4 linked regions of the Rhinolophus ferrumequinum genome follow. The protein of the gene in region 1 interacts with the protein of each later gene in a pairwise test. Links are inferred from orthologs where the notes say so. Each region holds a gene or a part of one and is shown in the gene's direction. Other genes may lie near its edges. The genes, in order: DVL3, BAHD1, KAT7 and SNX22.

Evidence for each region.
Region 2: the proteins of DVL3 (region 1) and BAHD1 interact in binary tests that used the Homo sapiens proteins (3 or more experiments, as listed by UniProt). The two-hybrid records come from large-scale screens. The link is inferred for Rhinolophus ferrumequinum from reciprocal best matches to the Homo sapiens genes DVL3 and BAHD1.
Region 3: the proteins of DVL3 (region 1) and KAT7 interact in a two-hybrid assay, tested with the Homo sapiens proteins (2 studies listed by BioGRID and IntAct). The two-hybrid records come from large-scale screens. The link is inferred for Rhinolophus ferrumequinum from reciprocal best matches to the Homo sapiens genes DVL3 and KAT7.
Region 4: the proteins of DVL3 (region 1) and SNX22 interact in binary tests that used the Homo sapiens proteins (3 or more experiments, as listed by UniProt). The two-hybrid records come from large-scale screens. The link is inferred for Rhinolophus ferrumequinum from reciprocal best matches to the Homo sapiens genes DVL3 and SNX22.

Annotation. Positions count from the first base shown.
Region 1 is NC_046285.1:60,962,701-60,970,214, reverse strand, and holds the start of DVL3 (segment polarity protein dishevelled homolog DVL-3), read left to right. Parts: upstream 1-4,310; 5' UTR 4,311-4,519; coding exon 4,520-4,680; intron 4,681-7,514. UniProt on the Homo sapiens protein: Involved in the signal transduction pathway mediated by multiple Wnt genes.
Region 2 is NC_046289.1:64,615,714-64,623,446, reverse strand, and holds the start of BAHD1 (bromo adjacent homology domain-containing 1 protein), read left to right. Parts: upstream 1-4,431; 5' UTR 4,432-4,438; coding exon 4,439-4,535; intron 4,536-7,733.
Region 3 is NC_046304.1:33,630,785-33,638,381, reverse strand, and holds the start of KAT7 (histone acetyltransferase KAT7), read left to right. Parts: upstream 1-4,275; 5' UTR 4,276-4,466; coding exon 4,467-4,481; intron 4,482-6,880; coding exon 6,881-7,028; intron 7,029-7,597. UniProt on the Homo sapiens protein: Catalytic subunit of histone acetyltransferase HBO1 complexes, which specifically mediate acetylation of histone H3 at 'Lys-14' (H3K14ac), thereby regulating various processes, such as gene transcription, protein ubiquitination, immune regulation, stem cell pluripotent and self-renewal maintenance and embryonic development.
Region 4 is NC_046289.1:46,348,656-46,356,264, reverse strand, and holds the start of SNX22 (sorting nexin-22), read left to right. Parts: upstream 1-4,045; 5' UTR 4,046-4,104; coding exon 4,105-4,179; intron 4,180-4,543; coding exon 4,544-4,627; intron 4,628-5,040; coding exon 5,041-5,145; intron 5,146-5,692; coding exon 5,693-5,787; intron 5,788-6,109; coding exon 6,110-6,142; intron 6,143-6,388; coding exon 6,389-6,456; intron 6,457-6,916; coding exon 6,917-7,041; 3' UTR 7,042-7,609. UniProt on the Homo sapiens protein: May be involved in several stages of intracellular trafficking. Interacts with membranes containing phosphatidylinositol 3-phosphate (PtdIns(3P)).

The DNA of each region.
Region 1 (7,514 bases):
GGGCACCTCTGATTTGTACCTGATGGGTAGCAGAGAGCCGAGTGGCCTATAGAACTGTTTTAGGAGGAAGAGAATCCTTTCAGTTGTGGTGATTAGAGAAGGCTTACAGGACTGTGATGCTTGAGTGACCCAAAACAGGGTAGAAGGGAACTTTAAAGGCAAAGCAAAGGATTTCCATTTAAATGTGGCAAATTAAACACATGGGTTTTTTTACTCCCTCCAAAACCCCATTCATATGCCACTAAAGGATACTTTTAAAAGGCATGTGACTCGATAAGGAAAACTAGGTGATGACAATGAATGAGAGATATCAACATTCTGGAAAATGAAAAATGGAAGAGTTGACTTAGCAGAGCAGAAGGAAATGGATTCTACCTACTGGGATGGCTATTAACAAGCAAACCAACATGACTTTCTGAACCCAGAAAAGGCTCAGCAGAAGAGGGTAAAGACGGTCTAAGAACAGGCATCGAGTGGAGGGGATTCAGACAAAGACCTCTATAAGAAAAAGCCCCCCCAACCCCCACCTTATATAATCCAGCAGGGTGACTACCCCTACTTCTCCTCCGCAAGAAATGGGAGATTTAGCCTTTGGAGAAACGGTGGGGAGGAAATTATCAAAGAAATACAAAGGTTTCCTAAACCCAAAGATCATGAGTTTCCAGACTGACAGAGCCCATGAGTGCCCAGCATAATGAATGATATTCAGAACCTCATGATATTCCAGAACCTCAGGGGAAATGTAAATTATTAGAGCTTCTAGACTTAACAACAGACATGGTGGGGATGGGGGTGAGGAGCTAGGTTGAAAATGAAGGATTAAGTGGAAGTATATGAGTGGTAGGGCTCTAAATATCAGCACACATTGATTTATATCCCCAGGCAAAAGCAAACAACAACTACAGAAAAAGCCTACAAATACATTTTTTGTTTCCTCGAAAAAAGCGATCTTTCCCCCACTTGATCACCCTACAGTAAACCTGTTAGATAATAAGCCTTGTACATGAACAGCTCCCAGTCAGCTTTCTGGTATCTCTTAAATGTGAATGGACGGCCAAGGGCCATCAAATATTTGAGGAAACTTCCAGTGTGGAAGGCAGAGACCAAAAAATTGACACCAAGGAAACTGACAAGACGGAGCTTTTTTGAAAACTTGGTGCGGCCTGGGGGGAAGCTATTTTCAAAATTCAAAGAGGAAAAATACTGTGTCTATGAAGAAAGTGTTATAAAAAGGAAGAATTGGAGAACAAAAAAAGTTCTTAGAAATTAAAAATAAATGAATTGTTTCCTTCTGCTGAGAACTGGAGAACCAGAGAACCAAACAGGAAGGAGACTCTCCATCCTTACACACTTCTTGAATTTTCAATTATGAATATTTTACCTATCCAATTGGATAGGGGGAAGGTTGGAAATAATATTAAGGAGATCTTGCAAAAAGGTGAAATCATTTTAAAATAGGAATGGATGATAAAGGAGAAAATAAAATTAAGGATCAATCCTGAAGGTCCAACATCTAACAGTTGCAGAAGCAATGGGGGAAATGGTAGTCATGTTATTAAGTAATTCAAGAAGATATGGTTGAATTTCTAGATGGAAAGAGTGCCTAGCACAGTGAATAAGCACCAAGGCATGTCACCATGGAGTTTCAGAACCCAAGGATAAAGAGAACTTCCTAAAGACTTCCAGGGAATTCAAAACAAATCGTGTTCAAAGGCTTAGGATAATAAAGAGACGAAACTGATCACTTCATAGCAACACTGGAAGCTAGAAGACAGTGGTGCCTTCAAAATTCTGAAGATAAATTCTGAACCTTCAAAATTCTGAAGATAAATTACTTTTAACTCAATCATTTTCAGATTTGCAAGTTCTCAAAAATTTTATTTCCCATGCTTTCAAGGGAAGCTACCGAGAATGTGCTTTCCTAAAGCAAAGGAGTAAAGTATCTAGGAAATGAGGAACCAACATGCAGAAGTAAAGGAAATTTTAAGTATGATACAGAGAAGTGGCTGCTGTGCACAAGCAAAGATAGTCAACAGTGCAGATTAGAGCAACAGAATTGAAGGCTCCAGGGAAGAAAATGGATAGATTATCTAATATACAGACATACCTCATTTTATTGAACTTCACTTTATTGCATTTCAAGATCATTCTGGGTTTGGTTTTTTTTTTTTTTTACAAATTGAAGGTTTGTGGCAACCCTGCATCAAGCAAGTCTATTGGTGCCATTTTTTTCAACAGGATTAGATAATGGTTAGCACTTTTTAGCAATAAAGTATGTTTTGATTAAGGTATCTACAGTGTTTTTTTAAGACATAATGCTATTGCACACTTAACAGACTACAGTATAGTATAAACATATCTTTTTTATGCACTGGGAAACCCAAAAATTTGTGTGACTATTGTGATATTTGCTTTATGGTGGTCTGGAATCAAACCCGCAGTATCTCTGACATATGCCTGTATTTGACTGAGCTAACAAAATATGTATTGAGAAACTATTAGATTATGTGGAAAGAATAGATAGATACACTATATTACATAAAAAGCAAAGCAAATGAAAAGGCAAGGCAATGGTTAATGACGAGAAACAAGTTGTAAAGGAAGCATTTATTCATAGTCAAAATGTCAATACTAAGTACTATATTGACTTTAAAAAAGTGGGATTTTACTATTTTAAGAGGTTAGGGGGAGGTGGAAGAAAAAGAAATCCATCAGTCAAGATTGGAAATCAATAAGCGATGTCTAGAATGCATAATTCAAGAGATAGTATAAACTAAAAAAGTATACTGGGGTGGGGAGGGAAATGGGACAGAGGACAGCTGTTAAAAACTTTCCTAATACTATTTGACTATGCACACATACTGCTTTGGTAAGAATTTAAAGTAAAGGGTATGAAATAAAAATATACATGTGTGCAGGGGCTAGCAAATAGTTTGATTTGCTGAAGTCAAAATTTTAGATAGGACATAATGAAATAAAAGGCCGCAAAGGTAGGTAGAGGTTAGATTATGGAGGGCTTTGGATATCATGATCAGGATATTTGGAAAGCATTAGGGAATGTGAAGAGGTTTCTGAGCTGAAGAGGTACTTACTGTTGAAATGCTTATTTGGCAACTGTACAAAATGGAGTGGGAGGAGCCCACACTTGTTGATGTGTGGACCTATGTGAGATGGTCCCAGTCTACCTTCCCAGACTGATCTAACACTATCCCTGGAGTCACAGCGGCCTTCCTCTGGTTCCTCAAATCTGGCAAGTTTATTTCTGCCTTGAGCCTTTAGACTTGTCTGTGCCCTCAGCCTGGAATGCTCTTCCCCCAGGCCAGACCTTATAGCTGCTTTCTCATTTGTTCTAGGACTTAGCTCAAATGGAAGAGGCCTTCTCTGACCACACATAATTCTCTTTCCCCTGTTACTATCACATCACTCTATTTTATCTTTTTCATAGCACTTGTCACTCTGAAGTTATTTATTTACAAGCCTCTTTCCAAATAAGTAAAGGTCCGGGGCAGCATTACCTGTCTTCTATTTGCTGTAGCTCATGCAGTATGCCTTGTACATAGTAGGCACTCAATATTTATTAAACAAATTTAAAGCTAAGGGGTAAGGGGATCTGTTAGAAATGATTATACCTACTTCTGGTTTGAGACTTACTGTCCCAGTAATGCACCCATCTTCATTCTTGCACTCGTTCTGCGTTCAATCCATTTATTAAACCACCACTGCGTTGCATCTAGGTACTGAGGTTATAAGAAGGAATCAGCACTCGATCCTATAGTGTCCTCAAGGAGCTCAATTTGGTAGACTCAATGATGGCTACTTATGCTTATTAACAGACCCTAAAGGTCCATGTCAAGATCACTTTCCCCAGTGGTACTTGGTCAGAAGCCCCATCCACCTACCTCTGGGGACCAAAGAGACCCCTGCATTACACCCCTTCCCAGCTGCGAGGAGCAACCGATCCCCTTGGGTCCAAAGCCTGGGCTTTGAAGAGTCCAGGAACGCAATCATCCTGGTGAGATCAATCCTTCCATCTCTGGGGCCCTGGGCGACCGCTGCCACGCTCTCGCCGGCCAGGGACCGGAGCGCAGGAGTCAGAGCTCGCCGCCCGGCGGGTGGGCGGGGTGTCCTGGGGGCCCGGCCGAGAGCCAGGCCATCTGCCGCGAGGCCAGCGCGGCTCGGCGGGGGCCGGGGGCGGGGCCGCGCCGGGGCGGGGTCGCGCCGGGGCCCGGGGAGGGGAGCGGGCCGGGCGACAGCCCAGAGCCGGGAGGGCCGCGGCCACCGGAAGAGTCGCCGTCGCCAGCGGAGCCGGGAGAGTGGGGAGCGGAAGCGGCGGCGGCGGCAGGGGCAGGCGGCGCTGGGACCCGGGAGCGGCCGGAGAACAAGGGAGCTGGCGCCGTGGCCGGCCGCGGAGCTGGGCTGAGCCACTGGGCCGCGCCGAGAGCCGCCGCCGCCGCCCGAGAGGCCCGGCCCGGCCGCCCGAGCAGGCCGTGCGCGGGCCGCCGGGCCAGAGGCCGGAGCCATGGGCGAGACCAAGATCATCTACCACCTGGACGGGCAGGAGACGCCGTACCTGGTGAAGCTGCCCCTGCCCGCCGAGCGCGTCACCTTGGCGGACTTTAAGGGCGTTCTGCAGAGACCCAGCTATAAGTTCTTCTTCAAGTCTATGGACGACGATTTCGGGTGAGGATGGCCCCCCGCCTCGCCTCCCGGGGAGCCCGTCCCCTTCGGCTTCTAGGGGCCACTCGGCCAGTTTGGACTTCCCTTGCGACACTGGCTTCGAGCCCTACTCAGGATTCTAGGAGGTGACTTGGCCATTTGGGCTCCTCTTGATTTTTTCAGATGCTGGAGTTCCAGCCTCTCTAGGGACTCTCCTTTCTCTCTTGTGAGGTACCTTGGCCTCCCTAGTTTAGGAGGACGTTCAACTCCCCAAGATAAATTAGAGTTCCAGCCCAGGAAGTCCCCTCACCTCTCAGAGACCAGCGGTCCACATAGACAGACACACCCCCACCCCTCCACCCAGTTCTAGAGCTCGAGTCCCCCATCCTTCTCCTGCCCAGGGAGCCACGTTTTTAGCACAGACTTGAGGAGTTTGGCACTCGGCCTTCGCTTTCTCCATCTTTTCAGCTCCACAGCTCCGAGCCATATTTGGAGTACCGTGCATCTCAGGGCTGTGCTGTGGGACTTTGAACTGGGGGGAGGGGGAGCGGGGGTGCTCAGGCGCTAGGCTGTAAGCTAAGGCCTGCAGACCTGATGTTTATTTAGCTGCCCCCCTTCCCTCGTGGGGTTGTGTGGGATGTTGTCAAGGGAGCCCCTGATGAGGAGTCCCCACTAGCCCAGATGTTGATTTCCCCTCAGAATTGGGGCCTTTTTCCTCCAGATGGTGGCCTTGGAAAGGGCCTCAGAGCCTGGGTGGGAGGGCCGGAAGAGTCTCTTGGCGTTCTTCATCTTCGCTCCCTGGCGGGGTCTTCTCCTCACTCAGCTGCAGGGCTTTGGACAGGCGGAGTTTGGAAGCAGCAACTTCCCCTTTAAGAGGGGATGGAATGTTGGAGCCGGAAGGTTCTGTAGCAGCTGGCCTGGGAGGGGGAGCCTGGCTTATCCCCTCACACCCCCCTCCAACTCCCAGGGTACTGGGGGAGGAGGAGGCCCCCATACTAACTGGGCGCTGGGCCTGGAGGCCTGTGGGGAAGGCCTGCCCCAGCCCTCCAGGCCTAAAGGCAGCCTCTCCAGCAATAGCCTGAGGCCTGCACTGCTCTTTGCAGCTGAGGCCCCAGAGCTGAGTGAGGGGAGACGTTCTTCTTCCCAGTGTTCATCAGTCTGGTTTCTCTCCCAGGACCTCAGCCCTCCTGGTATTAGGAAGCAAGCACCTTCTCTCCCCTCTGCCTGGCATGTTTTGCTGTCACTGTTCCCTCCCACCCCCCAACTCAGGGTTTGATGAGCCCATGAGCCCATATGTGTGAAATTGGTTTTACAGTAGGAAGTACTGTGCAGCTTCTAACTATTCTTGTTTCTGTTGTCATTCCTACCCTGGGGTACTTCTGGTGTTTAATGATTGTTTGGCTTCAGTCCAGAGACAGACACCGCTGATTAGAAGATTCCGAAGAGGGATCCATACGCAAAGGGTAGGAGTGAGGGGGCAGATGCCTTGGCCTGGTAAGAGAAGAATAGAGTTAGAAGAGACCAAGATACTTCCTCAGGATATGAGATAGGGGCAAATTAGCGAAGTCCAGTGCACCGGGCAGATCCCACTCCGCCAGGTTGCTGTCAGGCCAGGCCTAACTACAGTCATAGGAGGGCCCCCGTTACATCCGCTCACCGTTGACTTAATATTGTTCTTTAAATCTACTGTCAGCCCACTCACTCTTTCTTAGCTTGACCAAATCAATAATATGAAATCACAGGTCTGATTTTCTAATTATACTTCTTTCTAATATATGTTAAAAATAAATATTTACTATTGAATTACATGTTCATTCAGGTAACACCTGAACACATCTTGCATACATCACGTACTGAAACCATCCTTTGCAAAATATCAGAGTAGGCCATTTTAACAGGGTTGAGAACAATGCTAAAAATGAAGTGGAGGAGATTGATTTTGTTTTTCTCCCCAGAAGGATTAATGAGCAAGAGATCTAATAGGGTTATCTTATCACAGAAGACTAATAATAGAGGAATATATATATATATGTATTTAACAAACTCTTTTTATGGTGCTTACAGTGTACCAAGCACTGATCTAAATGCTTTCCAAATTTTTACTCATTTAATCCTCTTAAATAGCCCTATGAAATAGGTAGTAATATCCCCAGTTTATAGATGAGAAAACTAGAGCACAGAAAACTGAAATAACTTACCTAAGGTCACACAGTCTGGCTAGTTAGTGGCAGAGCTTGATTCCACATCAGGAATCTGGCTCCAACGTCTAAGGCTTTAATCACACAATTGTAGGTATTATTATTATCACCATTTTACAAACGCATCCTCTCTGGGGCAGATGCTGAGCCTCGGCACACGGTAGAGGTGATAGGGCTGCCACTTATCCTAGCCCCCTGAGAGGAGGGTCAGGCGGAGGCCAGTGGCCCCTGCTGACAGACGGGAAAGGGGGTCTGAGAAGGAAGGCTGCTGTCTCTCCAGGCTTATCCTCTGAGGTCCTGGTTTGCGAGGTTCTCCAAGTCCCATCTGGTCTCCAGAAGTATTTGTCAAGCTCAGGGTAGGCCCAACCCTCTTAAATGATTTGGGAAATAGAGGAAGAATAAACATTTTCAGCCCTGAGGAGAGGGTGGATGGGAGAACAAGGTACCCACGGCTAGAGTGGCCTCGAGCAGCTGGAGAGGGCAAGGTGGGAAGTTGGGTCACTCATTGTAGTATTTTTCCCTATTTATCTGTACACCTCCCCAGCTCCTAGCCAGGACGTGACACCTGAGTAACACTTAGCAGATGTCTGTCCAGTGACCGCTCTGACCACTTCCCACTTGCGGTATGCTTATGTGACTGTAACCTCTGAGAATAAAGCA
Region 2 (7,733 bases), on another chromosome or scaffold:
GGCCTGGGGTCCCAAAGAGGGTGAGTCAGGAGTTGGGAGGGAGGTAAGGAGAATGCAGAAACAGCTTTTTTTCCGGGAGCGGCAGCCCGCAAAGACTTCCCCTGACCAGCAATCTGGAGGCTAGCACTGGACAGATAGGGTTTTGGACACTGCACGATGGACATGTGTTCCCCAAAGTCCCCCTTGTTACTTCTTATGAAGGTACTGGGCCCACACAGGCCCTGGCCTCACCTTGACCTCCCCCAGGCTATGGCAGCGGGTGCCATTAAAGGAGGAAGAGGTCCTGTGCTTTGCTGGGCATTCAACAGCTGGCTTCTTGGTTGCAGGAAGGGGCCTTGCCCCTCCAGTTCAGAGTTCCAGAAGAGCACTTCTGCCTCCCCCATCCCTAGGGAAGGGGCCCCAGAAGGTAAAGAACAAGCAAACGTCTGCACTTGCATTTGCCTGGGGGCAAATAATTTCTGGAGATCCCTTTAAGGAGGGGGTTCCGATCCCTTTAAGAAGGAGTGGGTCAGATAAAAGGACTATAAAAGTCCAGCTTTCATTATTTTCCCACCCCCGGGGGCTTCCTAGGATGGGGGAGGGGGCAAGTGCTGCAGCCGCATTTAATTGGTGCTTTGGTGTCCCTCCCCCAAGGAGCTGTGCCCTTCCGTTTGTCCAGTGGGGCTGAGAGGCCAGGTGGCTTAGTAAGTGTTCCTGGGTTCTAGAGTTCAGGCACTTTAAGGGGGCAGAGGAGCAGCTGCCCACACCTTGGAAAGATGGGACCAGGGCATAGAATGAAGAAAGGGGAAAGTGGTTACTGCCAACCACTGCAAGGACTGCGTTGCCCCGCTGGGGTGCCCTGCCTGGTGCCAGGTGGTTGGAACCGAGAAAGCAGTCTGCAGGGACTGCGGCGGGCAGTGGGGGAGGTGCCTGGTGGCCGAACTGGAGATGACGGAGCAGCCAGTCTGTCCCGGCTGTCAGTCTGGTCGTAGGTGGTGGGGGAGGGGTGTGCGGCGTGTTTTCTCGAAGCCCTGGATGTTTTCCTCTCTTGCATCTCCCTCTTTGCTCTGAGGCAGTTAACCCTTCCTGATGGGTCTACAGGCACCTGGATAGAGAGAGGCCCTTGCCTGGAGGCAGGGAGGGGATGGCCCTGGAGACCACATGTATCTATTCCTCTCTCCCGACCCAGCCACAAACCCTTTTCTGTGGGGGACCTCTGGGCTGCAGGGTGTGCCAGGTTGAAGCAGGGTGATGGGCCCCAGGCATTGACACAACTGCCCTGGTGGAGTGGAGTGGGGGCAGCACTTAGGGAAGGTTGGGGTAGAGTAGCTGTAGGAAGAAGAGGTGGAGCCCTTTCCAGGTGTACAAGGCTCTGGACTGGGAAGCAAGGTGGCCCAGTTGCAGAGGTCTCGAAATCGATCGGAGAGGAAAGGTCTTTTGGGGGATAGGCAGGGTTTGCAACCCAGGGCCTCTTTTTTGTTGGCTTGTTGACCAGCTCTAACAAAGGGGGAGGGGTAGGTCAGTGGGCTGGCATAGGAGGAACACCAAGTGCCTTTAGCCAGCCTGTGCCTCAGAACCTAGCCCACTCAGAGACTCCTGGGGCAAAGGAGACAGCCACCCACATCGGGGAGGAGGCTCTGAGGGTAGAATTCCTGCAGCTGCCAGGCAGGGCAAGCAGGGCAGGCTGGAATGGGCTCTCATGACCACTCTGCCTCCTCTCCAGGGTTTCCTTTTTTTCCCCCCTCCCACCAGGGCCCCATATAAAGACAGTTCTCTCCCCCACACCCCTCTCAACCCAGGACTGATGGATCTTCACTCCTAGATGCTGGGGGAAAGTCCAGTCCTCCAACCACACCCTGTGACCACTTCCTAGGCCAAGCACAGGCTCCCTGCCACTTGGGTCTCCTTCCCTGTAACTAGGTACATTTCTCTTCTGACCCTTTTGGCCTCAATCCCTGCCCATTAATGGGCATGAAGCCAAGGTCAGTGCATGCTGAGCTGCTGACAGGAACCCTGTCCCCACTTCTGTCTTGGCTCCAGGTTGCCAGTGGCCACTGCTGCTGTGACCCTCTACCACCAGTCTCTGATAGGGGGGTGGGGGACATCAGCCCATGGGACAGATTGGGAACAGCAGGAAGGGTGCATTTTGTGAAGTGGGGGGTAGGGCTGGCCTGGTGATGGTCGGGGGACTACTAGGAATCTTTGTCTTAGGAAGATCAGGGAGAGGAGAAATCTTTAGTGTCCTACTTTTATAGATTTGGGGATTTTGCTTTCCAGATGGGTGGGAGAAGTTGTGGCAGTTATCCTGGGAGAACTTGGCTCTTTGAGTTTCCCTGTCACTGTCTTAGCTTCCATTCACACACTGCCCCTGCTGGGTGACCCTCTCCTTTAAACATGTCCGTCAACACACCTAAAACTGTCCAGGGGTCCCTGACAGCTCTAGAGGCAGATGGGGAATCATCCTTTAGGGTTTTATTTCCCAGCCACAGGGGCTAGCAGCCCTGATTGTCTTAAAAGGCTGCCTACATGTGAGTGCTTGAGTCTCAAGGTCTAGGAAAGGCTAGACAGCATGTGGGGTGCAGGAAGAGCCTCTCAGCTACATTCCAAGACTGGGTTTCTCCTCCAGCCTAGGAAGCCCGTGCACTGGAGGTGCTTCTCTCTGCTGGAGGCAGTCCTCAGCCCAGCCCCTCCCTGGGCTGCTTCCAGCGCTCTGGTGACTTGACACTACCCTTTTTGCTGCTGCTCCTTTTACCTCCCAAAGCTCTCCTCCCCCACCTGAATCGGAAATGAGGCTTTGTTCTGGGGTGGACTCAGCATTTTTCAAGAACCTACTACGTGCATGCACATCCAGTGCTGGTTGGAGTGAAGCCCTATGCAGGCTGTGGCATTACAAGGTGCCCAAGACACAGCCCCTTCCTGCACCTCACAAGGACCTCCCACACCTCCGTGTGACCTCAGCCTGCTGTGCCCACCCACCCCGCTGACCCCGCGAGCAAGCTCGGGCTTGGAAAGGCACGTCTGTGGGTGTGAGACGGAGCCACAGCATTCGGGGACTAGCAGGAAGCCAGGTAAGTGTCCACGCTTGGTCCCATCCTGGCTTGGGGACGCGAGGGAGGGAGTCCAGCCTGGGCTGTCAGGCTGCCGCCCCCTCCCCCCGCACGCTCCCGGGGAGAGCTCTGATGTTCCCTGCGGTGGTGGAAGAGGGTATGTGGGTGTCAAGGACTCACAGACCAAGCTCTGCTGTCAGCTGGAAATGGATGAGGGTTCCACACTCTGCTTCTGAGAAGGGTGGATTAGGAGCTGGAGTTGGGGGCGGTAGGTGAAGGGGGAAAAGAGGAAAAAGAGATGCGGGCGAGGGGTTACCGAGCCAGGACCGACCTTGCTTGAAAGGAAAGGAGACGTGGCAGGCAGGGAAGTCGGAAAGATGAGGCAAGGGCGGGAGGGGCTTCTCAGCAGTCGGGGCCCTTTCGCTGGAGTCTGGGGCCCTTTCTGCAGAAAAGGGGGGTTGTCCTCGCTTGATTTTCGTCTGGTCTTCCCGAAGCTTTGCCCTGGGGGCAGCAGTCGCTGGCGATGGTGGGGGTGTTCCTTAGTCCGCAGTTTTCTCCAGTAGGTGCTAGGAAGGAGAAGGGGAAGAGGGATGTAGAGGGGTGACGGCCAGGGCGGCGGCAAGATAAGATTTCGAGGGGGGGTAGCAGCTGGGGGATTGGGGCTTCAGGGTCGGGTCACCATGGGATACGGGCTTAGGCTCTGCAGACGAAGAGAAAACCCAAGAAGCCGGCAAAGAAAACCACCACCCGCCACCACCCTTGGCACCATACCCCTCCCCCCAGGCCCCACCACTCCCCGCACCGCCTCCCCCAGCCGCCTCGTGCTGCCCCCTGCGTTGGGACGACCGACCCACGGTTCTGATTGGTCGGAGACTGGGAGGGGGAGCCGAGAACCGGATTGGCTGGCGGGGCCAGCGCAGGGCGGGGCGGCTGATTGGCGGAGCTGGACGAGAGGCGCTCCGCTGATTGGTTGGGGACGAGGAAGCAGGAAGGAGGGCGGCGGAGGCTCCGCTCTCGGGGAGTTTGTGGGGGAACCGCGAGCGGCGTAGCGGATCCCGGAGCCCGGCCCCCGCTGCCCGCCCGTCCGGCTGCCTGCCCCGCCCGTCCGGCCCCCGCCGTCCGCCCGCCCGGGCCAGGCGCGCCCGCCCCCCCGACGGCCCCGCCCGGTCGCGGCCCCCGCTCCGCCCGCCCGGCCCCGGCCCCCAGGAGGAGGCGCTGACGCAGCAGCGTGGAGCCCGGGAATTGAGCGCCCCCGGGGGGTTCCAGCCGCCGGATTCCAGCCCGGCCGGGGCCTGCGGGCGCCCAGAGCCGCGCCGTCCGCGCCGCCGTCCTGGTGAGCTAAGGGCCGGGGTCGAGGAGGGGGGAAGGGGCGAGCGGGCTGGAGGGACAGAGCGAACGACGGAGGCAGACGAATGAAGGGGAGAGGACCGGCCGCCCGTCAGCGCGCCCCACCGAGCGAGCCGCCGCCCCCGCCAGCCCGGGAAGGGACGGACGGACGACGCGAAGCAGGTGCGGCCGCCCGCTCGCTCGTTCGCGCCGCCCTCCTCCCCTAGGTCCGGCGCCACGGTCCCGCCATCGGGGAGCGCGGCACGCCTCGAGGTGACAGCCCCCCGGGGCCGCTCGCTTCGCTGGCCGGGGGCGGGGTGGGTGGCGGCCGCAGGGTGGCAGCTCGGCCGGGTGGCGGCGGCGCGGGCGTCCCGGGCCGCGGAGGGCGGGAGGACGCCGGTTGCTTCCTCGCAGCGGCGTAGCCGGCTCACCTCCGAGTGCGCGGGCGGCGAGGCCACGGCCCCCCCACTACTCCCCCCCGCCGCGCCCCCTCCCCCATCGCGGTCCCCGAGGCTAGGGGCCGAGGCCGGGGGCGGCGCCGCGGGATCGCCCGCTCAGGGTTGGGGGCGCCCTCCCGCGCTGGGAGCTGACCGGTTATTGCTGGATGGGGGGCTGGGGATGGGGGCCGCACTGAGGCGGGGGGTAGTGTAGACCGGACCGGATCGGGCTGAGAGGAAGGGAGGCGCCGAAGACGGAAGGGAAGCGGTTCGAGAAGCCAGTGTGGGCCGCGGGAGGCCCGGCGGGGACAGTGCAGAGCGGCGGCCGAGTCCGAGGTGGGGCGGGGGGAGTCGAAGTTGTCAGACCGCCTCCAAGTGACAGCGGGACCCCGTGCTCGCGGCCCGGCCTGGTCCTGCCCTGCCCGCTTCGCCGCCGGTCCTCTGGGGCCGGGGGCCGGGTCAGGTCGGGCCCGAGGGGCCCGCTTAGCGGTGAAGCGCCGGACAAAGGCGGCGCCGGAGCGGGCGCAGGTGGTGGCGTCGGGGAGGGGAGCCGGTCCGAGCCACCCACCCTGAGGGGCGGGCGACCGGGCCGGACTCTGCCCCGGGGACTGCGGGGGCCGGGGCGCCCGCCGAGAGGAGCTGCGGCACGGGTTCACCTCTCCAGTTGCCGATCGCCCCGAGGTTCTGGGAAGAGTGGGGGCGACCCGGCTAGGGTGGAGGGGCACAGGGGCAGAGGTGAGAGTGTGCACACGGAGGGCCTGGCTGGTGACGACCAGGTTGCCGAACTCACCAAGGCTACAGTCCGGTGAGCCACTCTAGAGCCTGCCAGGAGTGAGGGGTTTCAGCAAGCAGTTTGCCCACTGGCAGAGGTTTAATCTCACCTGGGATATCTCCTCGTTACCCATTGTCGACAGTTTTAAGAGGGCAGAGACCGGTTGGATTGGGAACTGGGAGACACCCCCTAATGTGTGTCAGCAATCTGTCCACAACTGCTCTCAGCACTTTTCTTTAGTTGAAGAAGGTCTCCACATAGGGAAATAAAATGAGTTTATAAATTCAGGCAAGAATCTAATGATTAAATAAAAAAGGTTTTCAGTCCTTTTCCTTTGTGCCACCTGAGAGACTTTCCTCTGTACCTTCCCCACCCCCATGTCTTCCGGAAAAAGGAGAAAACGACCCCATAGGGACCACATGTCCTGGAGGGACACTGCTGTCCTTGGCCAGCTGGAGGACACGTGGGAACCAGTGGCTTAAGCTGTGAGTGTCTTTAAACCCACCAGTGACCAGCTCTAAACTCGATGCAGTTGTCCCATTTGTAAAAACCCACTCAGAGTTCCCGATCCTCGTCATGTGAACCCATAGTAGAAGAATTGGGAGCACAAAGGCAGGGAGACTCTGGCTGTTTAGAATGTGGACTTTAGCTGATAACCTGGGTTGGAGTCCCACTTCAGGTAGGTGTTGGTTAAGAGCTTGGTTGGCTGTAATCTCGCTCTGGGAAAGCTGCCTCTCAGCCTTGCTTAGTATGGGCATTGAGTTCATTCATGGCCGCCCTCAATCCCCCTCCCCAGGAGGGTCTAGACCCCAGCCTGGGTGGAGTTGAGGCTTGTGGGAAAGAGAGTTATTACCTCATGCAGGAGACTAAAGTTTGTTCTTAGAGAATTTAATTGTATGTCTAAGATTCAGAGAATGATGAATCTCAAGGCCCTCCTGCCTTCACTGGGGCTACACAGTGTGTGATTAATTAGGTGGCAGTAAGGAGGTGACCTGGTCTGGCCACTGGAATATAAAGGGGAATTGCCAAAACAATGGTTTCCCTCTTTGACAGGCTCTTACCTGGCAGGAGTCTGTCAGTCAGATCAAGTGTTTAGGAGGGTTTGCTTTGGAGCATTTAGGCAGTGAAGAGGGTCTCGCCTTTATGTCTCTCCCTCCCTCCCTTTCCTTTCTGTTGCCTTACTGTCCCATGTCAGGCCTGTGTTGTTGTCATGCTCTCCCTCCCGCTCCTGCTTCCTCCGGTCCTTCTGATACAGTCTGTACACAGCTGCTAGATCATTCTTCTTAAAGCACTGTCACTCCCCACCCGCAAACTTGCAGTGGCTCTCCTTTTCCCGCAGTCTGACCTGAGACACATCCCCTCTGGCTCTCCTCTATCCATGCCATGCACATTTGTCTCCCTGCATCTTTGTTCCTGCTGCTTTCCCCAGTTGTCCCCCACGAGGAGCCCCTTGCTTTCCTCCCCTCCACCTGAACCCTACTCATCCTTCCTCTCACTGTCACTCGGGCCACTCCAGGCCAACATTGCTTGCCTCTGAGATTGTGACGCTGAATTTTACAACATGGTGTCTTGAGTAGTTCTGTAGGTTGGAAGTAGTTCTGTAGACGGGGGCAGTATCAATGTTAAACCTCTGTGTGTGGGGAGGAGGGTGTGAATGTTCTAGGGTTTCTGGTAGAGTGGTGTACACATTGTTTGTGTTAAATGAATGAATGCAGTGGGGAACAGAGGGGAAGCCTTCCCTTCCCCTTCCCCAGAAATCCTCAGTATGGAGTCCTTGGTGGTTTCCAGCCTTTTCTATCCAAGGTATATAGATAAGGCATGTTTGGGGTGCTTTAGCATGGGGAACAAATGAAATTTAGCTGTCAGAAATACCATCCTGATATACCATTCTTCACAGCTAGTGAAGAGTCTGTCCTGTGGATTGCTCACATGACACCATATAGACATGAATTGGAAAAGGGCTGTAATTCTGTTTCCCTCCTATCCCACCAAACCATTCTCTCCACCCGGCTTTGCTGCTCTTATGCAATTTTCCTTGTTGTCCATGTTAAATGAATCCATATGTTTTATCTCCTCTCAATCCCGGGTGTAAATGAGGGAGAAAACACGGTTCTGAGAACAACAAAAAAAAAGATTCCTGGGCCTGGCCTGTGAACAGTACTTTGGGGACTC
Region 3 (7,597 bases), on another chromosome or scaffold:
GGGCAGGAATAGGAGAACAGCTACTGAATCAGGATCAGAGTGATTTTTTTTTTTTGAGCAATTTTCAAAATGCAGTTATTTGACTGTTTAGTTTTGGTGGTTATTTATAATCCCAGCTGCAGAGGCGGGGAGCTGTGCCTGAGCCTGCTGGGCTCTGTCCAACACCTTCCCCCAGGGTGGGGCTGGGGGTGCGTGGTGGATAAGAGTGATACCAGAACCAAATGAACAAGTGGCCAAGAAGGTAAGAGAAGTCCCAGGCCATATATGGCAAGAGTAAAAAAGGAAGGACCATTAGTGACCGTCATGACTATGTTGATGAAAAGATTTTACTATGAATTGTGGTCACATCAGCAACCTCTAAGAGTCTCCCAAAGGGATAAAGACTACACCCATACGTGTACTCAGAAGTTACGAGATTGGCCTGGCTACTCTAGCTTTGTCTTAAAAAGGTCAAGGCATGCGTGCCCACCTTACAGGACAGTTAGTTATCCGTCCACAGGGAAACTGTTGTTCCTAACTCCCCCTAGGCACATAGTCAAAAAGAGGCTTAGAGGAGAGATGATGGCTGGTTCTGTGCAAGTCTTTCCTAACTGAGCCAACACGTGGCAGTGGCCACCCCATTTACTGAGCCCTTTTAGATGCCAGGCTGCGAGACTGAAGTTGGAGACAGTGTGGCCAGCCAGGCAAGGCTCCCAACCTCCATGAGCTCCCAGGCCTTTGAAGCAAACAATGAACAACTACACTTTTTATTTGAAATATGGGACCTATCATTTTACTGGCAAGGGGAGCATTTGAAAGGAAATTGAGGGATCTTTTAGGGAGTTCACAAATGTAACTGAGGAGACAAGATATAGTTACAAGAAAGAAAATGCACAAGGACATACCCAAAGGATTGGCCCCACTACCCTTGCCCTGTTCAGTTCTCCCTCCACTCCAGGGAATGTTATTATAGCAGCGTTGTAACCGGTCTCCTGGCCTCAGGACTCCCTGCCACTCTGTTCAGTATCCATCACGGCTTCCAGAAAGAGATCTTTGAAGTGCAAGTGTGATCGTGGGACTCCTCTGCTTAAAGTCCTTCAGCGATTCTCCATCACCTCCAGGCCAGGCTCCTTAGCAGGGCATTCAAGGCTCTGCATGAACTTGTTCCCCAAATCATTCCTGTCTCTTTTTTTGGCAACTCCACCATGCCGTTAGTCACTCGCACAACACACAATGCTGCTCTACTTCTCTGTGCTTTTACACATGCTGTTTCCTTTGCACAGAAAGCCCCTATTCTCCTTGTCCACTGGTAAACGTACTTGTCCTATAAAATCCCACTCTTATTTCACCTCTTCTATCAATCCTTTCCTAAACTCTCCAGTCAAAACACTCCACTCCCTCTTCTGCACCACTTCCGAAGCTTGCTCATCCTTCTGTTTTCCTATTAATAATACTCCATAGTGTTTTGGAACAAAGAGCTTACTGGCCTGGGGAAGCATGGTGTTTTGTCCTCAGTGGCGTGACTCAATGCCTGGTATACAATGCCTGGGTAATTATTCTGTGTCTCTTGAGCTGAAGTAGAACAGACAAAAGCAAAGAGCCATTGAGACCATATAAAGATATATTCACAAACATTACGATGTCATAGCCATGACTAGGGTGACTGGAATAATAAATATGAATAACAACGACCATTTCCTGAGCACTTACTTGGTAAGGAACTGTGCTTTACAACAATCATCTCCTTTAATCCTGGCGACAACCCTGTGAGGTGGCTATTAGTGTCTCCATGTCACAAATGAGAAAACTGAGGCACAGATAAATTTAAAAACTTGTCCAAGAGCAATGCAGATAGAAAGTGGCAGAGCTGAAATTCAAATCCAGGTCTGACATCAAAGCCCTGTACTGGACACTAGTAGAGCTGATGAATAAACAAATAGGAGTTCTATGTTCCTATTATTTGTCTGGGAGGGACAGAGGAGAACAGAAGAGCTACCAAATTGTATGAGAAAAAGTGTAAATGTAGCAGTAAGTGCAAAATACCATAGCATGCTCTACTACCTAGGAAATAATAAATCAGGACTTTCTGAAGAAAGTAAATTTTAAAGAAGGTTGGGAAACGTACCGAGGCAGGAAGAACAGCAGAGCTACCTATGTGAAGTCTGGCAGATGAGGATGGACAGAAGAGCACTGGTCAAAGCCTTTGAAACCAGTATCAGTTCCGGCTTCAAGAGTTAACTGTGTCATGACGAAAAGGACACTCGAAGTAAAGACTATGTTTGGTTCAAAAGAAGAAAGGAAGAAAGAAAATAGCTCTCAGGATTCCCCTTTCCCCATTCTAAATATATAGCTTTCATCTCAAGTCCACATTTTCCTTATATTTCTATCCTATTGGTGTTAGCTTTTTCACGCCGCCAGAGTGTACACGTTCCAAGGACAAGAATCATGTCTAAATGAAACTGTAAATTCTTTTACTGTTAGCTGCAGTTTTGAAAATCTAATGAAAGAGATTAACTAATGTCAAACATTTATAAGACTGGTATTTGTATGATGAATGGTTAAGTTAGGGTACGATCTTATTCTAAAATACTAAATTCACCATCTTTGAGTGCTATACATTCAGAGACTGTGAAACAGTAAACATTCTGATTGACCAGCAAGCACTTACTGTGGGTAGAGCATGGTGTGGGCACTATTAAGGATGGTAAGAAAGAACTGAGAAATGGTCTTAACGGGGTGGCCGGTTAGCTCAGTTGGTTAGAGTGTGGTGCTAGTAACACCAAGGTTGCCAGTTCGATCCCCACACGGGCCACTGTGAGCTGCGCCCTCCTTGAAAAAAAAAAGAAAAGAAATACTCTTAACATAAGAGCTCCTTACCACTAGTTGGGGAGCCAGACATCCAAGAATGAGCTCAGGAACACACCAGTGAGTGCAAAATAACAGTAATAGTGTGAAACTAAATGCTTAAGTACTGGGCGTGGGGGATACACAAACAAGCAACTCAAGCCTTTTTCAAATAAGTTCTTATGTGCAGTTCAACCTAAGTAGATTATTCGAAGGTATTTATACTAAACACTAAAAGCCGCCTGGGTTAAAACCTGCCTAGGATATCCCCAAGGAGAATGCTGGCTGAGGGCCTGGAACTCTAACTCTGTTTAGCACATCAATCAGATGTTTACCTCCTGCTGCTTTGTTCTTTAGCTCTGCATTTTGGGAAATCTCCATCTTAGTTGGCCTCAGGTGAAACCGGGGTCCAGGATCCTAACTTAATGACTGAGCTTGCCTGGATTTCACCCAGTTGCTCTTGGTCAAGCTTTGGTCCTTTCAAGGCTTTTCCTCCAACGAGTTTAAATCCTCAAAGCCTGCTCTCCACTTCCCTGCCTTTTCTTAAGGCTCTGCATCCAGCCTTACATCCTTAACCAGATTCTCCTTCTTGGGCCCTCTCAAAGCAGGCTCTATTATTATTATTTAAATACACATGCCTCTTTTAGCTTCAGCTTCACTAAAACTATTCCTTCTTCTTCTTACCTCCCCCAACTCCTGCCTCAAGCATCTGGATTTCCAGAGGCCATTTGGGCTAAATGGGGTTCATTGCTTCTTCGATTCTGGTACGGCACCCCACGCATCCACCTTCCGCGGGCCACCCAGGGCTCTCGAACCCATAAGAACTGGGGAAGGAGGTGGCCGCTCACCACAGAACTGGGAATTCTTTGGAGCTACAACTTCTGGAGAATGGTTCTGCCTCCTTCCGCGACGTGAACGACTTACTTGCTGTTCGCTAAGGGCAAGGACAATGTCTCCTCTACCAGACAAGAAACTTCCTGATGATGGACCCTATCCTTTTGTTCCTTTTACAAGGCCCCATTCCTACCACTTTGAGACACGGGGTGGTTCTTAAAATAGTTTCTTGTGCAAAATATCCCATCTCAACTTTGAGTTTATATGGTAAACGGAAACATCCTTTAGCTAATTGGGCAACGAAGGGGTTAAATCTCAACAACCTGATGAATTCTGGGGGTTTCCTGCCTCGATTTCAGAAATTAAAACAACCGGGAAGGGAAATTTTGCCCAAGGTAAAGATGAGAAGAGTTAACTTCAACTGTCAGGCTTCTGCCCCAAACAATAATGGCTACTCACGTCCACAAAGGGTGCCATTCCCCTAACTAGAAATGGCTGGCCCCCGTTTCTACTTTGTGCCCAATTCCAGCATGGCGCTCACTAGCCTCACCAGAAGGAGCGAACTTCCCAGCACCCATCTGGCCCGTAACGTCAGGTGACGTGAGCCTCAGCCGGAAGTGAAGGAAAAAGCGCCTCAGCCCGCGGCGCCTGCGCAGAAAGCTCTAGACGCTGTGAAGCAGGAGGCACTTGGGATCGTCCGCAGGATTGGGCCTGCTACCGTGGCCGCCACGGAGCCCGCCGGAGCCACCGTTCCTACTGCTGCTGCCGCCGCTGCCCGAATCGGAACCGTCGGGCCGCAGCCGCCGGCAATGCCGCGAAGGAAGGTAAGAACGGGACAGGAGGGATGGCGGGTTTCTAAGGACAGTCGACTGGGCAACGTGACGCAGTTGGCCACGCCTCACACTCCTTGGGTTCCAACTTCCCGCTCCCCGGAACCTAGCTTGGCAACCCTCTCTTCTGTCCATACCCAACAGAAAAATGTGGGCCCGACCCTGGCCTCGGCCTGTGCTTGCAACTATTCCCGCCCTCTGCTTGCCTGGCTCGGAGGCGTTCTTCTCGTTAATTGGTCGCTGAAACGTCTAGAAGCATATTGATTGGCTGATGACACCGCCCATTTGGGCCCAACGGTCACCTCCCCGCGTGCGGGGGCGGTGTCTGGGCCAGGCTGTTCGACTTTCAGACTGGCTGTAGAGAGCGATCTCTCCTCTCTTGATTGGCTGGGCTTGGCAGTCTGTCCCGTGGGGGCGCGGTTTAGCGGGACCACTATTGGATGGCACGAATCCACGCCCTTCTGGCTGCTGATGCTGATAGGTGGAGAGGCGGAGTTTGGGAGCATTCTTTTTTTTTTTTCCGGGCGGGGGGCATAACAAAGCAGAAGAGTGGGTGGCAAAGAACCAGCGCCCACTCCCAAGGGATCCCACTCTGTCCTATTGCATCTAAGCCGTAATTTTTGCTTATTTGCTTAGTTGGACAGGCCCTAGAAAATGCAGTTAGTAAATTCAGAAACTTATACCGGACTTATGAGATCTCTTTGGGACACCCCCATCTCTTTGCCGCTGAACAAACAGGCCTACTGGAGTGTCCCAAGCCACTCATTTAGGCGGTGGCAGAGCCAGCACTGCAGAACAGATTCAATTCAGCAAATGTTTATTGACTACTTGCAGTGTTCTGGTTGCTGGGGGTTCAGAAATTAATTAGACATGATCCCTGGCTTAAGGAAATCACAGTCTGATGGGGGAAAACAAGATCCAGTAAATTCTCTACTTAGAAGTATATGTACAAAGAGTTAGGGGAGGGAAGTGAGGGAGTAAGTCAGTCTGCTCTGGAGTAAGATGGGAAGTAGATTGGTGGAAGCTGAAGAGAAGAGCTGAGTTCCAGGATGGAGCCAGGAAGGGATGGTCAGAGATAATCAGGGATTCAAGTATCTGGGTAATTGGACTAGATGACCTTTAACCCCCCCCTTCTTCCTCTGGATGTTCTGTGATGTCCATTCATTTCTGGGCAGATTACCCTTGAACTATTTGGAAAGCTGGGTAGTATTCTTGCTCATTTCTGCAGAAATATTTATTTTCACAGAGGCTTTCAAATAAAATATATTTTTTAATGTCTTCTAAAATGACCTACATTGCTAGGTGGTGCTTATGTTAAGGCTCACCAAATGCAGGAATAGTATTGGTGCCTTGCTTGGAATAGGTCCACAGTCCCCCCCCCCCCCCCCCCCCCCCGCAAATACAAAGAACTCTTGAAAATGGAAGTTTTTTTGTAACTTATTTGGTGGCAAAACCTGTCCTAAACTGTCCGGAGGCTACTTATATTTTTTGTGGGTCTCCTTGGTAGTGTGATTATATATTTTCCTGCAGGAATACTAATGTGTTTAATTATGGGCTGTTATTTGCAGGATATATGCAAAGTATTGTCTTTCCAAAAATCTAAAAAATAATGAAATTCTAAATAAAGTCCTAAGGTTTTTGAATAAAGAATAGGAGACTTGTAATCTGAAGCTCTGTATTGTTTTTTTTAGCAAATAAGCTTTCCTTTCTGGTTTAGTGTTAACGCTCAATTGATAAAAACTGTGCTTATGGCTAATCATGCCTAAGGAAGCTAAAAATCCTCTTTCTGAATGCCTACAAGTCTTTGTGTACAAGCTGCCTTTTTTGTTTTTATTTTTGTAAGCACCTTTGGCACTCGTGGAGAAACTTCAAATATAGATAACATAAGAAAGAAGAATTTTATTCTTTTTATGCTTAAGTTCTTTTGGGATCAGAGTTGTGACCATGATATTTTGAATCAGTGTATATGGCTTTTTAAAATGTGATGACTGTTCATGGAGACTTTGAACCAGAGCTACCCTAAAGTTAAATGGGGTCTAACATTTTTCTCAGTACCTTGGACTTTCTGTAAGTCCATAGTTATGGCAGCCATACCTTTTTGAATTGGGTACATTTGTTTCCAGTTTGTAATACTGACCTCCAAATAGACTTGTTTTAGAATTAAATTTGTCTTAATACAGCAAGAGTTAATTCTCCTTCATTTATTTAATAAAGGTACGTTATTTCTAGGTTGTTCCACTTAAATGCTCTAAATAACAGGAAGTTGGCTGTGGAATCCTTTTTTAGGTTTGAAGTTGGTGTTTTTGGCATCACAGTTCGTTTTATTTCCAGTGTTAATATAAACCCACAGAGTAAATGCTTCTGTGCTAATGTCTGGATCTATGGTGTTACAGAGGAATGCAGGCAGTAGTTCAGATGGAACCGAAGATTCCGATTTTTCTACAGATCTCGAGCACACAGACAGTTCAGAGAGTGATGGCACATCCCGGCGATCTGCCCGCGTCACCCGCTCCTCAGCCCGGCTGAGCCAGAGTTCTCAAGGTAAAGGCTTCCTTCTTACTGACTATGTCTCACAACTCACTGACTGGTCATCATATTGTGCTGGTTAATGTGGAAACTGGTCCCTTGGCTTGATGTAGTGACAGAATCTGGTAAAATGCAAAGGAAATGACTGCAGAAGTGTCAGGTCTTTAAAAATGGTCCCGTTGGGGTTGCTGTCCATTTTGTAGACCCAAAGGAACTATGTCTGGTATAATGGATGTATGATACATTGTATGTCTGTCTTGAGTCATTTAATTTTTTTTTTTTAGATGTTATCTTTTCCTTTTGTTAGAATGGTTTAGACTTAGGGACTTAAAGTAGTCCCTTGAACTCATTATTGGAGGGGGCCCAGTACTTGTAAAACCAAATGTTTAAGGCTGTAATATAGTCAGATACGCAATTAATAGGTATAAATAGTTGACCTAGTTATTAGTTGTAAGTGCCCAGGATTTTGCTTTGGTAGTAAACAATAGAGAATCTCGGTGTTGGAAGGTTCTCTAGTGCAAGTAGCCATCTGGGCTTAGATTTGCAGGGTACCCCTGACCCTGCCTGGCTCTGTTCTGGATTCT
Region 4 (7,609 bases), on another chromosome or scaffold:
GGACCCTGAGGCACAAGGTGTCGTCCAACGTTGCCCAGGTAACCAGAGCAGTCCTGGGTGGAGCAGTCCAGGCCCAGCAGTCCAGTTACTGGGGGGAGGCGGGGCTGGGCTCCCTCTGGGGCCAGTCTGCCTCTGGCCACCCGCCTGGAGAAAAGAATCCAGCCTCTGTGCCCAGCAGCGCCCGCCAGCCCAAGGCCCAGGAGCTGTTTGTTTTCTTAACAGGGTTAACCAAACCTCCTGAGCAGCTGCGCAGCCCAGCAGAAGTGGTTCTAGTGTGAAAGGGGCTTTGTGTGATGGTGGCAGAGGGCGAGGGCCCAAGCCAGAGTGGGAACCAAGGTCCAACCCACCGGCCTGCCACCCCACTACCAGCCACCACCCCCAGTGGGAGTATGTCAGGGGGACACCGTCCCCAGTCCTTCCTGCCCTCTGCTTAGGCCTTCTCTCTTAGGATTCTCATCTCTAGGTGCCAAGTCTGCACAGTGGGGCGAGAGTGGCCCCACTCCCTGGCGGGGCTGTTTGGGGAGTCGAGAGACCTGCGTCTACAATGTGGTACCCAACTAGGGGCATTGGCATCACTGGGGCACTTGTGAGAAGCACACATGTGAGGCTCCACATTCAGAAAATGGGTCAGGGCCCTCTAACCCTCCGAGACTTAACCGGCCATGTTGGTGATGCTGCTGCTTGCTGAAGTTCAAGAACCACTGTTCTATCATCCGACCCTTATATACCCTGGCCAAGAAAATGTGACCAACCAGTACTTTTAACCAACTTTCACCGAGAAGCCTGGACGTTAAATTTGTATGTTGAAGAGTGATGGAGGAAAGACAAGAATTTATACAGTAAAACAACTCATTCTGAAAATGGAAGTCACTTTGAAGAGCCTGGAACTTACCTCAGTGTTCACATACTGAATGGGGGGGCGATGCTTAAAGTGTATAGAAAATAAACTTTACCTCTGACTGTAACCGCTGCTGTGGGGTATCCACCATGTCATGTGTTCCTCCTTTCAGGAAAGTATTCTCCATAACTTGTTCTATCTCCCCAAAGACATCTAAAATGTCTCCAGGTCAAGAATCTGGTTTTTCTTCATTGATCTTCACTCGTTTATCATGGAATGCTGTGGCATTTTTCAAGTCAATTGCATCAAATTTCCCTCCACAACTGGTGATGAAAATCCATTATTGATTTGACGCTTCTCAGGAACACTGGAAAATTAAGCAAATGAGTAAGGTGAAGAACAATCTGGAGAGAGAGAGAGAGAGAGAGAGAGAGAGAGAGAGAGAGAGAGAGAGAGAGAGGGAACTCTGAAGGTGGGAAGAGTATTCCTGTTGTTATCCCGCCTTCCTCTAACCCTCCGGCAACCCCTGCTCCCTTCCTCTCTCCCAGTCTTCCCTCCTCTCCCTAGCCTTTTCCCACCTCCCTCCCCCATTCATTGATATAGTCTTTCAACCACAAATGTATTCTTTGTGTCTACTACATGCCCTGCACCATGGCGGTAGCCACTGAGAAGACACACCAGGTCCTGGCCTGATGTCGCTCAGAGTCTGGGGCAGAGTCAAGGAAACCAAGGAGACACAATAAACAGACATAACTACACATTGGAATGAGGTGATATGATAGGGTGGTCAGAAAGGAAGGCCTCTTTGAGGAGTTGAGATTTATGCTAAGAATTGGAAGTTTTAGGCTAAGCTTACCAGGTAGAGTCGGAAAAGTGTTCCAGGGAGAGGAACCATCATATACAAAGGTCCTGAGACGGGAAAAAGCTCATTAGGTTTGAAGAACTGGAAGAAGGTCATTGTGGCCGGAGCTTGGTGCGTGGAGGGGGAGGACAGGAGGTGAGACGAGAAATGGAGGCTGGGCGGGGTCATTTAGAGTACTGTAGAGTGTGGTAGGGAGAGTGGGTTTCGTTCTAAGTGCTGTGGGAAGCCTTTGGAAGGTGTTACGCAGACGCCTTGATGACAGTTTCCGCTGTTAGATAGAATGGACTTTGTCTGAAGGAGGGAGGCCTGGAAAGACAGGGAGATCCCTTTGGAGACTAGCAGTTTTCTGGATGGTAGGAATAGAGACAAAGGGGCAGACAGTCGTTAGCATGGATGACCAAGAAGTTTAGAAGTCTGGGGGTCCCAGGAGAGGACTCCCTGGGCAGTAAGACAAGCAGAGCAAAGTCCCTGAATGATGGAGGCCCTGGAGTGTAAGGGGTGAAATGAAACCCCAGCACTTCTCCTCATGGTGGGTCATTTCCCTTCCAAAGAGGTTCAGCTTCCTCATTCTAGGGCACTTGTGAGGATGGAATTGGAGGAAAGAAAGTGTGGGACATAGTATTGATAAGACCTGCTTTTCTCCTTTTTCCCATCTTTCTTCCGCCTCCCCTCCACACACTGCAGTTCAAGCCGTTGTTTCTCAGTCTAGTTGTGTAGGACACAGCTCCCTGGCCCACCTGGTATTATGAGCTTTGCGCTCACGTCAGCTGAGGCAGTCGGTCACCAGTCGTAGGTCAGCAGCTCACGGCAGCTCTCATTGGCTGCCGGCGCTCATGATGGCTGCCGACCACTCATGGCAGCACACGGCAGCACACAGCAGCTCACGCCAACTTCCGGCTGCTCATGCCAACTTCCGGCTGCTCACGGCAGCCCAGCTCCACGGAGAGCTGTTATTCACAATCTTAGCTGTAGAGGGCGCAGCTCACTGGCTCAGGTGGGAATTGAACCACAGACCTCAGCGTTAAGAGCATGGCGCTCCAACCACGTGGGCCACGGGGCCAGCCCCCCCTTTTCTCCTCTTGGGATCATTCTCTCAGCCTCTCTTGGGGGCAGGGCTGGGAATGGGAATGGAGAATTTCTGCTCCAGATCAGAAGCACCGCTGCACTAGCAATGCATGGAGTGAGTGGTTCCCCAACCTCACCCCCTAAGACAGGTACTCTGCTTCTTCCTTCTCACCACAGACATCCCACTAGGTGTGAGCTCTTGGAGGCAGGGCCTCCCTTCCCTTTACCACCTGCCTAGGCCTTTGTGGGAGAAGTCAGTGGCGTGGACTCTGCTGAATGAGACAACTCCCTTATGGCTGAGGGGTGGGAGCAGAGGCCCTTTCTAGAACAGGGGGTGAGAGAGTTATAGATTGAGTCCTGCCCCATACCCAGGAAGACCCTGCCCAAAGGGATGGGCAAGAACAGCCTAGTGCCACCTTCCACAGGCCCTCTTCCCCATCCATTGCCCTGTACACCAATACCACCCACCTGTGCCTCTAGGACAAGCCCACAAGCTGCCATTTTCTTAACACCTACTTTGCTGAGGGCTTAACAGGGATCATCTCACTTAATTTTCAGGCACTCTCCCCAGAGAGGTATATTATCCCAATTTTGCAGATGAGCACAGGTCTACAATTTGGGAAATCCAAGTTGTCTGACCCCCAAAGAAGAGCCTAGGTTGTGAAACCGCCTCTTGCTGGCAAACTGGGCCTGAAGCAGGTTAGGGCTGAAAGATGAAGGAATGGATTAAAAGAATGAATGAATGAAGGGGCTTGTGGATGCTGGGAGAGGGGAGACATCATAACCAGACGGGGTTCCAAGGCTTACCCAGGCTCAGCCACCCTCTCAGGGTCCAGGTTGAAGGTGGAGGGAAAAGGGTGGGAAGCAGCCTGGTCCCGGGGAAGGGCGTGAGGAACAGAAGGAACGTTCCTGATTGGCTCTGAAGGTAGGCGCCAAGGTCTGGGCCCCGAATCCTCCATGCCTAGCGCGCACGGGCTTTAGTCTTTGGTAGACACTCAACAAAGACCAGGGGAAATTTTGGCTCGCCCGCGTTCCTCACAGTCAGTGGGCGCTCAGTTAATGTTGACAAACACATGCCTCTCCACCGAAGGGTCCCCACCCGCACTGCGGCCCCACCAGGCTCAGGGGACAGCTCTCAGTTCCCGCCACCCTGCGCGCTGCCTAATCTGCCCCTAGCAGGACTCCGCGCGCGAGGGAACGCCCGGGGCTTGGCCATCTGGGGGCGGGGCCTTTGAGTCCGAAGGGGCGGGGCCGCCCCCTTCAGGGTCTCTCCGCTGCTCTTGGAGAGTTCGGGCTCTCAGCTCTGCTTGAGGAGCTGAGGGCGGGGGCGGGGGCGCGGATGCTGGAAGTTCACATCCCGTCGGTGGGGCCGGAGGCCGAGGCACCCAAGCAGAGCCCAGAGAAAGGCCACATGGTGAGCGGGGGCACTGGATGGGAAGGGGTGCAGGGACCGCCGGATTTCCCTGAGCCGAGCGCAGTGGGGACCCCGCGCCCCGGGCTGGGGCGTCCGAGCGCTGCCGCCGAGGCCGTCGGGGGACAGCCAGCCGAAGATCTCGGGGCGCTAGAATTTGCCAGCCCCACGGGCGACGATGCGGGCTCATGAGGGACTGCACCGAGCGGAGGGCGGATTCTCTCGTCCTTTCCACATAAAGTGTGAGGAGCGTGGGAGGGTCCCCGGGGAGCGGCGGCGCTCCGAGGCTGCTTTGTGCCTTTAAGCGCGGGAGGGTGGGCGGGCGCCTAGCCTCACGCGCATCCGCCTGCCGGCCCGCGCCTGCCAGGTGTTCCGAGTGGAGGTGCGGTACTGCGGACGCAGACACACGGTGCCCAGGCGCTACAGCGAGTTCCACGCGCTGCACAAGCGGGTGAGGCGGCACCGCCGACCGACCGACCCCGGCCCGGCTCCTGCCCAGCCCAGGGAGGAGGGCAGACGAGCTGCGGCCTCAGCCTCTGCCACCCCCGTTACTGCACCAGTCCCTGGAGGGTATTCAGGTCCTGGGCACTGAACTCCCCACGGGCTGCGGGGTGGACACAGAGGGGCAGGTTCCGGCCGGTACTGCCCATGCCCCTGCGCGGCCGGCCCACCCTCGGGCATCTGCTGGGGTAGAGAGACTGGGTCCCCTGCCCCAGCCACCACTCACCCGGGACTGTTCCGGGTAGAGCCTGGAGTTGTGGGTGAGGGGAGGGGAGACAGGCTGGGGAAGGCTCTCGCAGGGATGGAGTGAGCCTGAGGGCTCAGTGGGGACACTGGGATCGCCCCGCGGTAACCTCCTCGCAGATCAAGAAACTATACAAAGTGCCCGACTTCCCCTCGAAACGCCTGCCCCACTGGAGGACCAGAGGGTTGGAGCAGCGGCGGCAGAGTTTGGAGGCCTATATCCAGGTGGGCGTGGGTCTGACTCTCGTGCTCTCTAGCCCGCTGGACTAGAGGTGGGACCCAGCCAGCTGTGGGGGCATGGGGAGAGGGGTGCACATCTTGGGCATGTTTTTTAGTACCTCAAGCCTCAATTTTCTGAACAGTAATTTCGGAATTAATTGAAATTAGTTTAATTCTTGAACTTTCATGGAACTGGGACCACTTGCCTCCTAGTTACCTCATTCAATCTTAATTATGGAACTGGAAGCTAGTTCTCTTCCCTTCCAGGCTGAGATCTTGGCGCTGCCTTCATGAGGATGTAGAGTGGGTACCCTCCCCCCGACCCCCAAAGTGATGCCAGATTATAGGCCAGGCTGGCTCATGGGCATACACCTGTGTAGTCACTCGGCCCAGTGTCAGACGGGCCCCCAGCTTGGTTAATGAATGTTTTGCTCTGACTGTCTTGAAATTCTTAATCATTTTGGCAGAACCTCCGCGTTTTCATTTTGCACTGGGCTGTGTTTTGCAGCACATAGCTGGGTCAGATACAGGTTTCCTCTGTCCTCTTCTCCAGGGCGTCCTGTACCTGAACCAGGATGTGCCCAAGGAGCTACTTGAATTCCTGAGTCTTCGGCACTTTCCCACCGGCCCCAAGGCCAGCAGCTGGGGGTGAGAACCTCTAGGGGCCATGGCTTGGCGTGCGAGGGGCCCCAGCGTTGGGAGGACAGGGCTCTCTGCGGCAAGCAGAGGAACATTTTAGAGGCCAAGCCCTGTTCCTTCTTACACCTGCCAGGCCTGAGCCTGGTTCTTTTACTTTGAGACACGATCTCCCTCATCAGCTTTCTTGACCCTGGTGGAGGTGGTTTTCTGGATAGCCTTGGTTACCCCTGCTGCCTCTGGAAATTAGCTTTTTACAAAAAGAGGCAGTGGCCCCTGGGAGGTGAAGATCTGAACCCCCGGGCATCCCCAGCAGCTCACATCCTCTTTTCAGAACCCTGGGGGAGTTCCTGCCTAGCAACAGCAGGCAAGTCAAAGCCCCTACCCCTACCCGCTCCTGCTGCCCCCTGGTGGCCATTTGTCAGGAGGCTGGCCTGCTGCCAAAATGGCTCGTATTGTCTGTCCTGGTCCAGGTTTTCCTGTTGGTGCCTCCTGAGCCCACTGCCCTCTCACCTCGTTTCTTTTTGGGTCCTTGGTGATCTCAATTCCTAGTCTCCACCTAATAGGAGACTGCTCCACGTCCCTCTCCAATACTCCTGACCCTCTGTCCTAGAGTGCAGCTGCACCACCGGCCTGTCGTCCGCTTCTGCATGGATCCCTACATTTGCACCCCATCCCCAGGTGAGGTGGTGCTTCTGACCTATAACCCATATTTAGGGCACAGTTAGCAGGGCGGGAGTAGGGGTGAACTTGCCGTTTCTCAGCTCCCAGGACCTCCAGGCAGCTTCTCTCCTAATTGCCCTCCTTTGGGACCATACCTGCCCTGCTGCTCCTGTGCCCCCATAGCCTGCTTTGTATTCACCAGGGAGCAGACATGGTGAAATTAGCTTGGCTCCCCTGGTCTGCATTCCTTACCAGCCTGGCTTTACCAAGCTCATGTGAACAGAATGTGAACTGGGAATGCCCATGCCTCATTTTAGGTGACCAGCTGTTACCTGCTGCCTTGGCAGGGGCTCCTGCTCCCAAGTGGGGCTAAGCCTGGCTAGAGGCTCCGGAAGCTGCAGGCCTGAGGTCAGGACCATCCCACAGCGCCCTCCACTGCAGCCCCCTACACCTTCCTCCTGTTCTCCTTCTGCCACAGAGCCATTGCCCAGTGTGGTGGTGAATGGCGTGCTCCAGGGCTTCTACGGCTTCGGCACCAGCACAGCTGACGTCCAGCCAGAGGCTCCTTGTCACCCTGCACCCCTGCCATCGATGATGCCCTGACCAGCCCAGAGGCCTCTGGACCACCTGCCAGGACAGTCACGTGCCTCAGTCCTGTGAGCTCCATACCCAGGACTTACCCACCTCAGGCTCAGAACTCAGCTGCATTGGTGGCTGGGGGTGCTAGAACTCCTGTACCCCTGGAACCCTGGGGCCAGGGCAGGGAGGACAGGGTGAGGATTAAGGGAGAAGTCAATTTAGGAGGTAGGCTATGAAAGGGTACAGGTGTACTTCCTCACTAACACCAGAAGGGGGCAAGCAAAGGTTAAGGCACTGTAGTAGGCCAAGTTTAGAAGCAAGGAACAAAAGCTTCTGCTCGAAGTTTTGTGGGTAGCATCTGGGGAAAGGGTTCTGGCTGGAGCCCAGGGAGGGGACAGGCACCCCAGCCACAGGAGGCCCAGATAGGCTGGATTGTAGACCTGGGGGAGGTGCTGCAGGCCCAACAACCCACTCACACACAGGTTATAAAAAAACAAAACCCACCTTTTTTTTATTGGTCAGTGTTGGTAGGAATTTGTTACAAAACTGGGCCTGTGGGCCTGTGGAATGTGAGAGGAAGGGTCCACTCCAT